Mus musculus: one gene and its partners. The protein of the gene in region 2 purifies or fractionates together with the protein of the main gene of each other region. This does not show direct contact. Links are inferred from orthologs where the notes say so. Each region holds a gene or a part of one and is shown on either strand. Other genes may lie near its edges.

Region 1 (4,489 bases), on a different chromosome or scaffold from region 2:
ACCATAGCAGCCCTAGAACCTTGGCCTTTAGATAGAAGTGTTGGGGTGAATGAATGTGCCCCAAATCCAGTTTTAAAAACAAAAAATAATTCCTGCAATTATGACATAATACTGTGCAGTGAATCAGGAATTGCACACTGCTCCTATGTCTGGTTAAAGCCCTGTCCCAGCTTTGGTCAGCCAAGAGGTGACATCTAAGCAGTTGTCTGTGGCTAAAACCGGGCACTTTAGTCACACATGGGCTGGGACAGTGAGGTTGATGACATCACTGAATAGAGGAAACACAGGGACCCGTAGCTTTGGTGCAGTGCAGGCTTTATCTCCCTTAAATTTCAGCTGCTTTCTATATCTCTGAGTCTCCTAACGCAATAAACTAGTGATTGGGAATATCTTCGAGGAACCTCTGGTCGGGTGGCAAAGTACGCGTCCCTGCAGGCCACCAACCTGACTAGAAAAACAGAAAGGTACAATTTGTATCAAGTAAATGGTCATTCAACTGGAAGATAATTTCCTGGGAACCCAGAGGTCTGGCTGTCAATCACATGGAGGAATGCCGGGACTAGACTTTAAAGAGAGCCCGGGTCCCAAGTGTCTGATGACACTTGTCTTCTTTAACTTACCGTTTTCTGAAGGTCTTCTCTCTGGCCTCCTAGCTCTTGAATGTCTGAGCACACATGTCCTCAGGGACCAATGTAAACATTATTCAATAGCTTTTAAAAACCACAGCTTGTTATATAGTGTTTGACATTCCAGTGCAGGCAGTATCTTAGCATCAGACTTTCCCTCATTCATGAGTACCGGTTTACAAAGGAACACATACAGGATACTTGATAAAACTGTGGCTGCAGAGACCGTTTGAGTGCCAGACAGCTGGGTCTATCCTGTAGTCAGCTGGCAAACCAGGACTATGACAAGAGAATCACAACAGAGCACACATTCTCTGTGAATCTTACGAGTCCACATAACCACTGTTCCCACTTAGCCCCTTGGGTCGCATCTTGATATGGGAGAACATTTCCACCTCTTGCATCAACCTGCGTTCTCCTTGTTTTGGATGGGGCTCTCTCCAGAGGGCTCACGGGCCTCCTCTGGGGGAAGGGAGTCTTCTCTCCCAGTCCTACCATCAGAGTATTTCAGAGCACAGGAGGAGTCCACAAACATGCTGGGGATGTTGCTGCCAAAGTAGATCTTACTGTTTGAGGCAATGGCCTGGTATTTCTTGAGCTCCAGATACTCTGGGGTCAGTTTGTGCTGGGTGAGGAAACAAGAGCAGAAGAGTTAGAATAGTTTGGTGCAGCAGTCATCTCTTCTCCTTGAAGACTATTTCTCCAGTTGCTCTCCTGAGTAACATGACTCAACTTAGAGTGTTTCCCAGTGACCCTATTTCATTTTGGAGTGTGGTTATCCTATGAATAGCTAAGTTCTTAGCTAAAATCCCTTTAACAAACTCCTGTCTTAATGTAGGAGAAACCTTATCCTTTTTTTTAATAGATTGGGGATCAAATAACACAGTATTTCTTTTATAGCTTATAGAGTAGTTTGCATGCATTTTGTTTCATGCTCAACTCAACCAGGCAATGACAGAATTTCAGATTCTCTTGAGAGAGGTGCACAACTCAACAGATGAGTGTTAGGGTTTCCAAGGAAAAGCCTAGGTTCACAACTGTTTAACCAGGTGTCTTAGTGACTCAACTTTTTCAACCAAATTTGAGAATTGGAGTATGTCTAGAAATCACCTAAGCTGACATATCTGCCTTTATCCACAAGTTGGCTGTTTAAGTCATTTGTGGTAAGATGGATGTTTGCCAACCACCAGAACTGCTTCTACCAACAGTTAATGTTTGAAAAAGAACCTCACATATTTCAGACCGGCCTCAAACTTGCTCTGAGGCACAGGATGACCTTGAACTTTTAATTCTCCTGTTTTTACCACAGATTACTGGGATCTTAGACACCTGTCACCACACCCAGGTTTAGGTGGTGTTAGAAACCACATTGAGGACCAGCCATGCTAGCTAAGCACTCTATCCACTGAGCTACACCATCTGCCTCACTACTAGTATTTTGTGTTGATATTTTCAACCAAACTTGCTTTGGTTTAGAACCCATTTCTATTGTTTCTTAATTTCCTCAGGATTACTCTAGTAATCTGCTCTCTGTCTTGAGTCTGTCCTGTCCTTTGCAGTGCTGATCAGTTCCTCTCTGCACTTCAGCATCTTTAGTCACTGCATCTCCACCCTCTCCAGCGGATTCTAATCATCTGCCAAAACAGTGCAGTTAAGTCTGATCAAACAGTCCAACTAAATGACTTTCTAAAGCCTTTAATACACACTGATATGAGTAGCAGTTCTCAAGATGATATCAAATGACTACCCTTTTCAGAATAAGTTTGATCTTCATAATAATGTCTTTTATTTTTAAAATGACACTTTATTTTTGTTTATATGTATGTTTGTGTGTGCACATGTGTACATGGCTGTGAAGGGGCGGAGATAGAATCTAACCCCTTAGAGTTGGAGTGTGAGTCACCCAGTGTAGGAGTTAGATATTGAACTCTGACCCCCTGAAAGTGCAACAAGCACCCTTAACCATCTCTTCAGTCCCAGTAGTGAGATCCGGATGCTTCCACCTGGCCAGATCTCCAACCACCAATTTGTACTGGCGGATGTGGAAAGTCCCCATCCTGCCTTCATCTGTCAACATTCCACTCTGCTTCATCTGAAGTCAAATTTGTTTCTAAATTTACACTGTGGAAATGTATGTGAGAGAAGATGTTAAGACAAGTACTACAGGTGTGTAGCAGGAAGGGACAGATACACAAATGCACCATAGCACGCGGACAGCCTTCAACGGTGGAAAACTATCTTGCCCCAGAAGCTGCAAGGATGTCCCTGAGAGGAGGCAGTAAAGTTCAGTTTTTATCCTGAAAAGCTAACTTATCAGGAAAGCTATTCTAACTTAGTTTTCCTCTTTTTCTGTCATTTTCTCAAAAGATCTTCAACTTCTCAGAGCCCTTTCTTACAGGAGAGATGGATGGTTTCATGGCATTTGACCTGTGCTCATGAATCCACTAGTCTTTACTCCTTACTTTTAGAAAAACAGACAATGTTCCCTCCCTAACAATGGGTATCAATATGTCTTGCTATGTATTTGGTCAATGATGGGTTGGCCACTACCCTTTTCTGATACTGAATACAACTACTTCTACCACACTAGAACCCATGATATTGAATGCACACCAGAAGCAGTTACTAGGGAAGGGCATGGGCAGTCACCTTGTTTGAGGTGGCGTATTTGTGTGCAGCGTAATACTCGGCATCTGCTTTTGCCTTCTCTCGGGCCAGGAACGCAGCATCTAGCAAATAAAACGGTAACAGCATGTTTGCAATGAAAGAAAATTGCCACTCTATTCCCTCATCTGGGTAAGAGTATCTTTTTTACTGCTTAATATTTCAATTGTTTGCCTCACTGTAAGTTATAAATTTAACAACTTAAAAACTCTCAATCCTCAGAACAGCTCCTTTATAAGGGGAATTAAAGTTCATCACTGTTAACCAACAGCTCCTTTCTAAGTTAACTCATTTTCTGTTCTAAGTAGTTCCCTTGTCCTCCACCTCCCTCCAACTTCCCATCACCTAGAGCCTTACCCTCCACCCAGGAAGGGGTCAGGCAAAACAACTACAGGCCGAATCTAGAAACACAGAGAGATAAGAAAAAGCTATATATAAGCATAGACCATGGTCTAAGAACATCCACATTAGCTAGCATATGCAAGGCCCTGGGTTCAATAATGAACAGATCTACGTGATTACAGAGTTTTAGATTTTTCATTACAACTGGACTGTATCTTTTTCCCAGCTAATTTTTTTTTTTTTTTTTTTTTTTTTTGGTCAAGACAGGGTTTCTCTGTGTAGCCCTGGCTGTCCTGGAACTCACTGTGTAGACCAGGCTGGCCTTGAACTAAGAAATCTGCCTGCCTCTGCCTCCCAAGTGCTGGGATTAAAGGCGTGTGGCCCCAGCTAATTTGTTATTATTGCTGTTGACATGTGACAAACTGGTGGTGGTTCAGTTCATTATTTTGAACATCAAAAAATTATTTGTGTGTTTAATTTATGTGTTTAAATTATGTGTGTATGTGAGAGTAAGAGAAGAAAGACACACAGAGGGGGGAGGGGGAGGGAGAGAAGGAGAGAGAGAGAGATTGTACCCAAGAGACCATCTGGAGCTGTAGTTAGAGGCAGCTGAGTACTGCCTAAGCTAGGTTCTTAGAACTGAACTCAGATTCTCTTCGAGAGCCATACGTGTTCTTAAGTACCGAGCTATCTCCCCTGCCCTTACTGAGCACATGCCTAAAAGCTTTTCATTTCATTTCTTTTTTTTTTTTTTAATGTATGTGGGTATTTTACCAGCCATGTATCTCTGAGCATCATATGTATACAAAAGGGTGTTAGATCCCCTGGGGACTGGAATTAAAGATAGTTATGAACTA
Region 2 (6,427 bases):
CCAGGGCTCCGTGCCTGTTCCAGAAGCCGTTGAAGGCCTTGCACAGGGCCTCCTCCAAAAGGCCGGTCCCCGGACTTGCTGGGTCCCAAACAACAGGGCTGTACTGGTGGGATGAGCAGCAAACCAGACAGCCGAGCAGGGGAAGTCTGGGCAGAGAGCAGGATTCGAAGCATGGAGCTGGGTGGTGGAGACCCTGAGGGGGTGGCCCAGAAAACCAGGTGAGGTTTCCTCCAAGGGGAAAAATATGCTATCTAGTCCTTACCTGACTCCCCATCCAAAGGGCCTGAAGTTTAAAAAAAAAAAAAATCCCGTGTGATTGCCCTGGTATTCTTACCCAGTCTGCCCCTCTTCTCCCATTCCTTGACACAGAAACCCTAATTCTTTAAGTGTGCTCAGTGCAATTCTATTCACATTTCACATGCATATCGCCTTCGATGCTCCGTGCAAGCTGATGAGGAGTCTCAGGGCTGTTACCTCATTTCTCAGGCGGAGAAACAGGCCCAGAGCGGCGGAGAGGTTAAGCCTGAGGTCATTCACAGGGCTAGTGGTCGCACCCAGCCTGGGAGCCCCGGTGGTCCGGGCGATGAGCCCTGAAGACCACCTCCCCGTCCCGCAGGAGGCGGCGGCGGCGGGGTGGGTGGAACGCAGGCTCAGTAGCGGGCCGGTGCTGGGTCCCATGCTGGGCGCTCCCACTTACCAGCTGCGTGACCTTGAACTAATGTCTTCGCCTCTCTGCCTAAGCCTCCTCACTAGTGAAATGAGAACACAGCGCAAGCTCGCGGGGCGCGCGCCGAGCCCGAGTGAGCTATCTGCCAAGGCGCGGAGCTGATGCTGTCCGCGGGAGGGGCCCCCACACCCTGTCCCGGCCCCAAGAGGCGAGCAGCCCGTGGTCACCACCACTAACACCAGCTCCCGCCGCCCTCCCGAGGTCCGCCCCTCAGGCGCCACCCTACATGACTCCCCGGGCCCCGCGTAGGTCACTCTCTCAGCTGGTCTTGGGGCCCGGGAGCCGGGCTCCCCCCGCGGCCTCCTCATCAGCGGGCCACCGAGTCCGCCATCTTCCCAGCAGCCCCCGGATCGCCCCCAGACGCCAATCGCAGTCCAGCGCCAGGGCGGCGGAGACGTGGCTCCCAGCAGGCGCTGCGAGCAGAGGAGCCGCGAGCCCCGCCCTCCGCTTCCGGGAAATGCGCACGTCGCGGGGGCGGGGCCACAGAGCTTGCGCTGAAAGGTGCCGGGAGTGGCGGTCCTCTGTCCAGCCCTGGGGTAGCTTGAGCACTCAGGACCTAGGGCAGGTTCCATTCTCGTAGAACAAGGGCTCCCCACCCTCAAGCAACACACAGACACACTGGGTAGGAAAACGTCACAGTTTCTTTAATCTGCACAAATTCCAGAAAACAACTCTGCCCCTCTCGATTCCCCTTCACCAGTCTCCCAGTCCACCAGTTTCCAATTCAGCCTAGGCAGCTCTTTGAAACTAGAAGTATCTAGATCCTCTGTCAGCACACTAAGATGGGCCCATTGGGGTGCCCTGGCGGCCAAGGCAGCGACAGCAAGTGCCTGATCCAGAAGAGCCCACTGCCAGCGAAGGCTGAGGTCCAGCAGCCCCAGGAGATGGCCTAGAGCTATGAAGATCACACGGAGCGGCCTCCGCTAACACCCGAAGTCCTCTGCGGCGCAAAGCTGGGCTCCAGGGTAGTGGGAAAAGACAGGCAGCGGGTGAAGTGGGCCTGGGCAGACAGCAGCTCCCTTTGCGCCTTGGGGAATGAGGTCCAGAGGGGCTGGCTACACTGCCAAAAGCCCGTGGAGGCACTACGGCCGATACATGGCAAAGGCCAGGAGACTGAGGAGCAGGGTGAAGCCGGCCAGACCCAGGGTAGCGGTCAGGGGAAAGAAGGGCCGGTACTGGATCTGGCAGTACCAGAGCAGGAGCAGCAGCAGAAGCAGCAGGGGCAACAGAAGGCTGCCGATTTCCAGCCCGGAGGGGCCGGGCTCTGACCCCGGTGGGCAGGGAGGATGTGGGGGACCGACTCTCGTGGACACGTGGCAGTGGAGAACGCAGTTGGGGGGCAGGTGGAGACTGCCTAGTGTCTGAGTGTCGTCTCCTAGCAGTTGACCTTGGTAGATGAGCCGAACCTGCTGTTCCTGGCCTGGAAACTGGGTCCTGAGGAGAGAGGGACCTGGGTAAGAGAGCAGGCCTCAGGCAGTCCTGGCCCATTGTTCAGAGGACCAATCCCAATTTTCACCACCCCTACACCTGACCACCCAGATCCTGGCCTCTGGGGGACAGATTAACAGGAATGGTGTATAATGTGAGGAGACAGATTTTTCAAACAGAAAATAAGGGAGAGCTTCATAGGGTGACCCTTCTATAGACACCCACCCCATTTTTAGCATTTTGTTCTTACCCTCTTCCCAGCTTACCTTTTTAAGGAGCCAATGGTGTCCTGAGGCCAGGCCCTGGCTACCTGCTCAGAGTCATTGAGAAATTTCAACCGTAGAAGTAGGGGTTCCTGCGGAGAGTCTGGAGGTGTTGATGCTGTGACCCCTGTGTCAGGCTCTGGCTGTGCAGATGGACCTCTGTGTCTCAGGCTGGGACTCTCAGCCCCTGGGGCCTCCTCTCTGATGCTGTCAGAGGCTGACATGGCTTCACTGGGCTGTGCTGGTGTTGTGGTCCCCGGCGGCTGTGGTTGGGGGTCTGTACTCTCAGTGGTATGTGTTGAGACCCAGGCGAGGGCCAGCACCAGAAGGCAAGCAAGCACCGCAAAAAGGACAGTCACCTCATCGCCTACGCCTTCAATCAAGGCCATGGCACCCGTGCTGCTGCCAGAGGTGCTAAGGAGCTAGAGAGGTGCAAAGAACTGGTGAGGGGCTACTTCCTGGTCAGAAGTCATTCCAACTTCAACTGTCCTAGTTATTGTGTGTGCTTGCGCACCCAGGATGCAGCATCCTGTAGTCCCAAACTTGGCTTTTGGGTAACGTCCCTTCCCATCACCAGATTCCAAGTGCTAGCTTTGCTATCTGAGTTCTAGATCTTCATTCAGCACCCGATTCACCGAAACCTTACGTTCAAGAAAGGGCCTTGCTTTTCTAAGCAACCCTCTCCTTAAATGTAACCTTCATCAAACTTTACCCAGAAGCTTACCTATTCTTTGGTTCACTTCATCCCAAAGTTCACTCCTTCACCTATTTATAGCAAAGCTCATCTGATGCCCTGTCGCTTAAGTTTCTCTGATAAAAGTGTCTCTCTAGCCCCCTGCCCTCCCCCTTACCATTTACCCAAACCCCACCCACAACAAAGACCACTTCCCAAAGCTTCCTAGACAACCCCAAATGTCAAACTCCACCCTTGGCCAATCTGGAGTCTTGGGAGTTGTCTACTCAGCTCGGCACCTTCTCGGGTCCACCCAAAGCCCACCCCGCAGCAGTCTCCCAGCGCCTCCTGGGCTCCAAACCCAGAGGTCTCCAGACCCTTGATCCCTCGGGGAGAACCTAGACCTAGCCCTCCCCACGACTACTCCATCACTCCTCCCATCTGCCCGCCCCCCAGAGCTACTGGAGGGCACCAGCTATCTCGGGGCGGGGCAAGCAGGTCCCAGCTGTGGCCTGGGGCGACCCGGTGGGCGCGGCCACGCACAGCGACTCACCGCCCAGCTCCACCAGCTCCATCTCGGCTCCTCGGGCACTTCCGGGCCGAAGGCACCGAGGTCGCAGACACCTGAGGTCCCTCTCCTTCCCTGCTGCCGCGGCCCGGGAGCATTGTGGGGATTGTAGTTCGCCCTGTTTAGTTCCCGCCCTCCTCCCTGTGAACCCACGTGCCGGGCTGGACCAGATGTTGCCGGTACCCTTGGATCGTCGATGGGCCCACGGGAAGGACCCTGGGGTTTCTGCTTGTCCACAGAGATTTGGTCAGCAGCAAGAAACTCTATCTCCGCTGCCAGCTGCTGGAGCATCTGTCACTCCTGACACCAACGTCATCCTGCAGCATGTCAGAGCACCCGCGTTGGTGATGCAGTGATGAAGGCTCTGGGAAGCGCAGGTGGCCACTACCCAGCCAAGCCTGTGTCATTGTGGACGCCAAAAAGCAGCTTGGTTTTCTAAATTGACTCTGTTGCTGAGAAGGTGTAGGTTGTCTGCCCCACTTGCTAGGGAGAGTGCCTGACGCCAGCTGTCTCCTGGCCTCTGCTGCACTGTGTCCCTATGAGATTGTAAAGATGGCATAGACTTTGGAACTGAGTGTACATCCTGCGGTCTCATGTAGACACTCATCAGCTATATAATCTCTGGTGGGTTATTTAATCTCTGAACAAGTATAATTCTTCTAGGTCAGTTGGAAAGAAGAAACTCGTTTTATTAAATAAGTATGACAGCTCTGTAAAATTTATGTATTTTTTTGTATTTTGCTCGCCTAGTATTAATGCATTGGCTTCACCAAAACGTAAACTGAGAAACTGGCTAAGTATGGTGACATAGCCCTGTAATCCCAGCACTGGGAGTTTGAGGTAGGACAATTAGGAGGTTGAGAACTTTGGTCACCTAGAAAGACCCTGTTTTATTCTCCCACCCCTAAAAAAGTATTTCCACATAAAGGATATAACGATGGATCTGTGACAGCCAATCTCTGTAGATTTTTTCTTATTCCTTTGACTCCAATATCTGCAGAAATCTTGAATCCCAGATTTTACAGACCAGTTTTGACTTGGGAGTTTGCACATGCATGTGTGTCTGTGTGACTTGTCTCTGTTCTCTTATGCTAAGGGTACAGGCAGAGGCTCCCAAGCCTGGTTTCTGACATGAATACTGAGGAGTCAAATGGAGGCCCGTATGCTTGCAGAACAAGTCCCTAATTAGTTTTTTAAAAACAAGGGTTTGTATATCATATTTGTATGGGTGTTTGCCTGAGTATATTTAAGTACACCACACTCAAGCCTTGCGTCTCTGGAGGTCAGAGGAAGTACTAGAGTAATAGGCAGTTTTTTGGAGCCATGTAGGTGTTAGGAACCGAATTAGGGTCCTCTGCAAGAGCAGCAACAGGTGCAGCAAATGTTCTTAACTCCTGAGCCATGTCTCTAGCCCCATCCAGTCCAGTCTTAATTAAAGATAACCTACTCTGCTCTTCTATGGATGGGACCTCTGTTTAACTACTTCAGTTTTCAGATTAAGACCAGATCAAATATTGCCTTGGGCACATTAGTTTGGATTTATAAAGTAAGGAATTAACTTCTGTCTAGTTTCTTCATATTTCTTCATTTATGCTATATTTGAGTATATATGTTTTATATGCTAGGTATTGTGCAAGATACTGGGCATATAATGCTTTCTCTCCTTGCCCTCACTGATACATACTAATAGAGGAACAGATATGCAGATAGACAATCAATGAATGTTAAGGTAGGCATGTGCTGGTGGCTGGGGCAGCACTTTGGAGTGTTTCCCTCCCTCTCAAGTTCTGGGGAACTTCTTGCTGCCAATTCTAAGAATCTAACAGAGATGCTATAGGTTTGTTGGTTTGTATTTTTATTTTTCAAGACAGGGTTTCTATATGTAGCCCTGACCTGGAACTCTTGATGTAGAGCAGGCTGGCCTTGAACTCACAGAGATCTTCTGCCTCTGCTTCCTGAGTGCTGGGATTGAAACCATGCACCTCCACCACCTGGCCAGAGTATTAATATTAGTTTTAGAATTGTAAAGTAGAACTATACTTTTTTTTTTATGAGAAAAGCTATATTTTTGTTGAACTACTTCAGTTTTCAGATTAAGACCAGAAATTTTACAAGACATTCCTAACATCATACAGATAGAAGCTCGCATCACTCAATAGTTGGGAGTTGATTGGTTTGTGCCTGATCCTTTGGAAACTAAGAGAAATATGGGAAGGTGTGTAAAAAGTAAAATACTAGGAAATTTTATTTTGGGGAAAAGTCCAAGTTGCCCTTTGAAGTGGAAATGAGTGTAAAAAAAGATGACATGTGGGCTGGAAAGATGGCTCATCGGTTAAGAGCAGTGGCTGTTCTTTCAGAGGACTTAGGCTCACTTCTCATTATACCACACGGCAACTCAAGAGTCTCTATAACTCCGGTCCCAGAGGATACTGACCTTCACAGGCAGCAGGTACTTGTCTGTACATAATACATATATGTACACACACAGGGGATACACCATACACATATAGAGCTATGTGTAGAGCATTTGCCCAGGAGGGTTAGTAAGGCTCAGCAGAGAGGTCTGCAGGACATGTATCAATGGTGAACTGACCCCTTAAGGTCATATTGATTACTATGTTGATTAAGTTAATTAAAAGTTTTAAGTTTTTATTAATGGTCAGACCAAGAGTTGCTTTTCATCTCTGAAGTCTGTTGGTGTCCAAGCTCAGGGGTACAGAGTTAAAAGGCAAAATGCACAAAGACCATAATCTACATCAAAGTTAGAT
Region 3 (5,818 bases), on a different chromosome or scaffold from region 2:
AAAATGTGGAATAATAGATTGAAAACATATCTGAAAGTCTGATACTTCAAATGCTACAGATTTTTAGGTGTTCTAAAACATAAAAGGCTCTAAAGTCTAAAAGTTTTTGAGCCAAAAAGTGTTGGATTTCAGAACATGTTAAACTTGTGACTTTATGATTTTCAAATTCAGGAGGTTCTATTTGTAAAATCATGCAAATACTCTGAAATCTGAAAACTCGGATCTCAAGTATTTCAGATAAATGGTTCTAAACCTAAAGTCATCCAAAACTCAAGTTACTGATCAATAATCTTATAAAATAAGCCAAGAAACTGTAGCCAGGAGTGGTGGTTCACTCCTGTAATTCCCAGGTTGGGAGGCAGGAGATCAGTAATAGCTCAAGGCTAGCCTAGGCTACAGAATAAGACCCTCTCTCAAAAACACCATGCAGGCTTATAGTCTGGGATTTGTTCCCAAGTGTCAGATTTACTATCAAGATATATCTGAGTTGGACTGAAAAATCCATCAATTATTAGATGAAGTGATCTTGGGGTACGACTTCCTTTAACAACAGGCTGTTTTTACTACTTGAAAAAGGCCTATGTGATAATGAATGAATGAATGAATGAATGAATGAAAAAGGCAGACTATGTACAAGTTTTATAGCCCTGGGGATTGAACCTAGGCACTTGGCAGACAAGTGTTCTAGCCTGAGCTATATCCTTAGCCGTCCTTTCATGTCTTATTCCAAGAGCATCACATCAAGTTAATAATGCTGGCCTTGAATTTGCTATCCTCCTGCCCCAGCCTCCCGAATACCTGGGATTATGTCTGTTCCACCAGGACGTGGTATTATACACTAAAAATGAACTAACGAGTATGTGAGTGTGTGTGTGTGTGCGCGCGCACTCAAGCATATAAAAATAAATAAATAAATAAATAAATAAATAAATAAATGTATATGTATATGTGTGTGTGTTGGAGCAACGGCTAAGGCACACTTGCTATTATTGTTTCTAGCACCCATGCTGAGTGGCTCACCATCACCACTCCAGTTGCAGAGGTTTTGATGCCCTCTTTAGGCCTCCAGAGACACCTACATGCATGTGGTGCACATATATACATACACACACACATATATACATAGATTAAAACAGCTTTTTTTTAAATGCTCAGTCAAAAACAGCAAAGGACTAAGTATGGTGGCACATGCCTTTAATGGCAGTACTTAGAAGCAGAGACAAGCAGAGGTCTGGGATTTCAAGACCAGCTAGTCTACACATCAAGTTCCAGACACCCAAGGCTACATAATGAGACCCTGTGTCAAAAAAATATATGAATAAATAGATAAACTCTGCCCTCTGGGAAAACTAGCAACTGGCAATGATGAAGGTTAAAACTTAGTCCAAAACACATACTAAGACTTTACATAGTTCAATAGCTGGTTGATAAATCTGATTGTACAAAAAGTATAAAGGCTCTCTCTGACTTTGTAGCTGCTATAATATTACTTACAGATCTAGGCTGCCCTGAGAATCTCCGGTTATAATCATTAACATCTTGACGCAATCTTATAACATCCTGAGATTGATCATCTTCACCAAATACTGTTAGGAGGAGAGTTACCTGTGTATTACAGGAAAAAGCTGTTACACCTTCTGCACCATTATTATCACTTTTCACTTTGTGTTGTTCAAGAGAATGAGAAAAGCTTCTGAATGTATGTTTCATTCATTCCTTTGAATAAAGGCAACATGGGGGACGTGTGAGTAATTTCTGCCTTACAGTAAAATGTAGTACAAAATGTAATTTTTAATTCCTCCAAGATAAAATGGGTTCCACATCTAAACACTTACTCTAATATTTTCCTGTTCATATCAGGCACTAAAACCCACAGTTCTCTGCAAAAAGCATATACGTGGAGATAAAAGGATGATAGGAAAACCTTCAGTAACAAAGTGACATTAAAAATATAAACCTATCATTTTCAGAGAAAGATTTAGGCACTCCCGACTGACTGGTTTTACTCACACTTGGCATGTCTTTGAGTCTTTCTATCCCACTACAGAAACTAAAGGGTTGTATGGCCTGACGCTGAAACACCAGTCCTTTTTGTCATAAGAAAATATAAGTTTTGGTACTGTTATAGAACAAAGGTTAGTCTTGCTACTTTCATGACCATGGTAAAGATGACTCACAGTTGCCTAAGGTACCTTGAAAACTATGTATAGCTAAGAATGTAACAATCTCTAAAGAATGATATCTGATAAATACAATGAGATAAGATGAAAGGGACTAAATCGGGTTTAGGGGGATGGAGAGATGGCTCAGTGGGTAAGAATGCTGGCTGCTCTTCCAGAGGTTCTGAGTTCAATTCCCAACCACATGGTGGCTCACAAACATTTGTAATGGGATCCAATACCCTCTTCAGACTTACAGAGATGTGCTTGCAGAGAGCATACTCATTTACATAGAACATAAATAAATCTTAAAAAAGAACAGGTTTAGTTTTGGATCATTCTAGATGTTTTTATCCTTCCTGAGAACAAGAAAACCACTAATCAGATATTTTCCAAAGTTAAATGAAGGAGTGACTAAGTGGTATGAGCAGCAGACACAGTCACCCATACCTTCACAGATTTGTCAATAAAAATGTAGTCTCTAAAATAAGGCACTAATTTTAAGTCTCCAGCAAGATTAGCCCTTATAGTCAGGACAGTCAAATCCAATCTTTTTTTTTTTTTGATTTTTCAAGACAGGGTTTCTCTGTATAGCCCTGGCTGTCCTGGAACTCACTTTGTAGACCAGGCTGGCCTCGAACTCAGAAATCCGCCTGCCTCTGCCTTCCAAGTGCTGGGATTAAAGGCGTGTGCCACCATGTCAAATCTAATCTTAAGAGATCTAACCTTCATGGTCTTTTCCTTCTTGTAACTATTCTTTTCTCAAAGCTAATGTAAGGCTTTAGAACATGAACTGTTTCTTTAAAATGCAGTCTTGTCAGGAACAGTAGTGTACACCTTTAATCTCAGCACTTAGGAAGCAGAGACAGATAGAACTCTATGAGTTCAAGGCCAGCCTGGCTTGCATAGTGAGCTCTAGGACAGCCAGGGTTACACAGTGAGACACTGTCTCAAAACAAACAAATGAATGTAATTGAGCATCTCCTATGCTTGGTTGAGCATCTACTATGAGCTGGGCACTATTAGTGGTATGCACACATGGAAAAAAAGATGGCACAGCCTCATCATGAATGACGTCAACATCTGCAAGAAAGGCAGGAAGCTGACCTGTTCCAGAGCCTGTTATCTGGCATTGCAGGTGGTATCAAAACTGCGCTTTCCCTTGGGAGGCCTAGTACTCCTGAAGAATAAGGCAAGGTCTTGAGGTGCTGGTATGAGTGTTTGGTAAGCTAACGTACAGAGAGGAGTGACAAGCGTGCTCTCGTCAGACAGCAGCCTGCCTGTTATTTCCATGGCCATTTGCCAGTCAAACAGTACTTTCTACTGTCTTGCCTCCAGGTTAAATGACTGAAATTAGGGAAACAATGGCTATCAGACAGACTAAGAGAGCCTTATCCCCTTACTAACCCCTAGTCAGTTTTCAGTACAACAACCACTCTAGGAAAGCCATGAGTAAAATCAAAAAGTGGGCTGAGTGTGTGTGGCGATCTGGATAGTCCCCATAAGCTTACCATTTTCAATGTTTGGTCATTAGAAAGTGGTACCACTTGACAGGGATTAGAGGGTGTGGCCTTGTGGGAGTAGGTGTGGCCTACTGGAGGAAGTACATCACTGGGGGTTGGGCTTTGGGGTTTCAAATGCTCAAGCCAGGCCCAGAGTCTCTTTCCCTGCTGCCTGTGAATCTGGATGTAGAACTCAGCTCCTTCTCCAGCACTGTGTCTTCCTGCTTGCTGCCATGCTTCCTCCCATGATGATAATGGTCTAAACTTCTGAAACTGTAAGCAAGCCCCAACTAAATGCTTTCCTTTATAAAATTTACCATTGCTCTTCACAGCAATAGAACACTGGATAAGACAGGGTGGAACTCATTTTTCAGTTTAAGATACACTGCCTGGCCTCCACATTTCTGGCAAAAGCTAAGAACTACTGGCAATTAGTTTAAGGCAAATGAACTGCCCATGACACATGTCAAATTAGCCACAGAAACAATGTGAGAGGGGCAAACCACCTTTCCTTCTAACCATGTGGGAAAAAGTAAAAAGTGCTGAGGCAGAGTTTGGGACTACAGAAATAAAAAGGAAAAGAAGGAAGCCTGGCTCTCCAGCTCTAACAGCAATGGGAAAATTATTGCTAAAACAAAGGAAGCATGCACTGTAAGGATAACTGTGTGGCTTCATTATTAAAGTTCAAAGAAAATGGGACAAGATAAATACTTAAATATTTTTAAAAGGAAGAATATATTTTTCCCAAAAGAGAACAGTATGTGGGAAAAACTCACTTATCTCTTGTTTTTTCACTACAACTGTAGGATTTCAAATTGAATTCCCCCTTTTATGATACCTTAGTGATTTTAAAAAAAAAATTTTTTTTTTAAATTTAGAGAAGTTACACAGTAGGTTAAAATGCAATTTGGCTGGAAAAGTAACTCAGTTTAAATTTAAGACTGCTAACACTGGGCAGGAGAATGGCTCAGTGGTAAGAAGACGTGCTGCTCTTGCAGAGGCCTGAGGGTCAGTTCCCAGCCGCATCATGCAGCTCACAGTCACTGAAGGACCCAGTGCCTTCTATGGCCTCTATGGACCCTTGCACTCAGGCTATGTACTTACACTCAAGCACACACACACACACACACACACACACAAAAAAAATCTTAAACCAAAAGAAGCCCTAATATTTATGAAATGAAATACCATAAGTGATACTTTATATCTAGAGAACACTACCGTTTGTCTACAGATAGGACAACTGATTGCACCAAGCCAGGACCCGTATCGCCAGTATGCAATTATGCAGGAACCTAGTGGAATAAGAAAACATCAATAATGAAGCTTTAAAGTTCATATTTGCTGGTCAAGTTTCCACTATTTAATAGTATTACTTTTCTTAAAACATTGTTTTATTACATTGTTTATTGATATAGCTTACTAAATATTCCTTGAAAATTTTACCTCATCTAACCAAATTTTCAGATAAATTAAAATCTGGCAGTCATTCCCAACCAGTAAAAAAACATTTTTCTTTTGGCTACTACTTAAGCAATGGACATTTTATACAATAAAAAGCAAATATTAATCACCTCAGTTACTGAGGCCTCAAGAAAACAGTTTCCTATGTAAAATAAACACTATACCAAATATGACAAACTGTAAGATACTATTTGTTACAAATTTGATGTATTGGAAAAATATTTTAGGAGTCCACTGACCCAGCAAGGTGTGTTGACACATACCTACAATCCTAGCACTTGTGAAGCAGAGACCCCTGGATCTCAAGTGAGAGGGCTCTTCGGGCTACCCAGTGAGACCCTGTCTCAACAATATCAAGGGTTAAAAAGCCAAATTAAGTAAGTTGTGATGGATATAATCCCTTCACTTAGGAGGTTGGTGAGAGAGTCAGAAGTTTAAGATCAACCTCAACTACTCAGAAAGTTCAAGGCCAGCCTCAGCTACAAGAGCCCTTTCCTTCCTGCCACTCCAAAACCTGAAAACCAATTACTGAAGTAGTGGGCTTCCTTGATAAAATACTTAGCTTAGCTTAATGTCTGAAGTACTTATTGTACTAGGTGATGTTCACGACGATGGCGGAGGTAGCTCAATCAGTGAAGTCTTTACTGAAGAAACATGAGGGCCTACCTCAGTTCCCATGAACCAATGTAAAAT

What was found. The genes of interacting proteins can lie anywhere in the genome.
Region 1: the proteins of Tmub1 (region 2) and Erlin1 purify together in Homo sapiens (affinity purification with mass spectrometry; 3 studies listed by BioGRID and IntAct, with this or other methods). This does not show direct contact. The link is inferred for Mus musculus from reciprocal best matches to the Homo sapiens genes TMUB1 and ERLIN1.
Region 3: the proteins of Tmub1 (region 2) and Rnf170 purify together in Homo sapiens (affinity purification with mass spectrometry; 3 studies listed by BioGRID and IntAct, with this or other methods). This does not show direct contact. The link is inferred for Mus musculus from reciprocal best matches to the Homo sapiens genes TMUB1 and RNF170.

The regions. Positions count from the first base shown.
Region 1 is NC_000085.6:44,035,898-44,040,386, forward strand, and holds part of Erlin1 (erlin-1), read right to left. Parts: intron 3,356-4,489; coding exon 3,276-3,355; intron 1,252-3,275; coding exon 1,030-1,251; 3' UTR 1-1,029. UniProt on the Homo sapiens protein: Component of the ERLIN1/ERLIN2 complex which mediates the endoplasmic reticulum-associated degradation (ERAD) of inositol 1,4,5-trisphosphate receptors (IP3Rs).
Region 2 is NC_000071.6:24,444,113-24,450,539, forward strand, and holds Tmub1 (transmembrane and ubiquitin-like domain-containing protein 1 precursor), read right to left. Parts: upstream 3,735-6,427; 5' UTR 3,645-3,734; exon of another isoform or gene 3,635-3,644; intron 2,841-3,634; 5' UTR 2,808-2,840; coding exon 2,422-2,807; intron 2,162-2,421; coding exon 1,810-2,161; 3' UTR 1,351-1,809; downstream 1-1,350. Other genes in the region: Fastk (fas-activated serine/threonine kinase), read right to left, coding at 1-193, 954-1,035. UniProt on the Homo sapiens protein: Involved in sterol-regulated ubiquitination and degradation of HMG-CoA reductase HMGCR. Involved in positive regulation of AMPA-selective glutamate receptor GRIA2 recycling to the cell surface.
Region 3 is NC_000074.6:26,134,767-26,140,584, reverse strand, and holds part of Rnf170 (E3 ubiquitin-protein ligase RNF170), read right to left. Parts: intron 4,957-5,818; coding exon 4,883-4,956; intron 1,881-4,882; exon of another isoform or gene 1,836-1,880; intron 1,717-1,835; exon of another isoform or gene 1,606-1,716; coding exon 1,495-1,605; intron 1-1,494. UniProt on the Homo sapiens protein: E3 ubiquitin-protein ligase that plays an essential role in stimulus-induced inositol 1,4,5-trisphosphate receptor type 1 (ITPR1) ubiquitination and degradation via the endoplasmic reticulum-associated degradation (ERAD) pathway.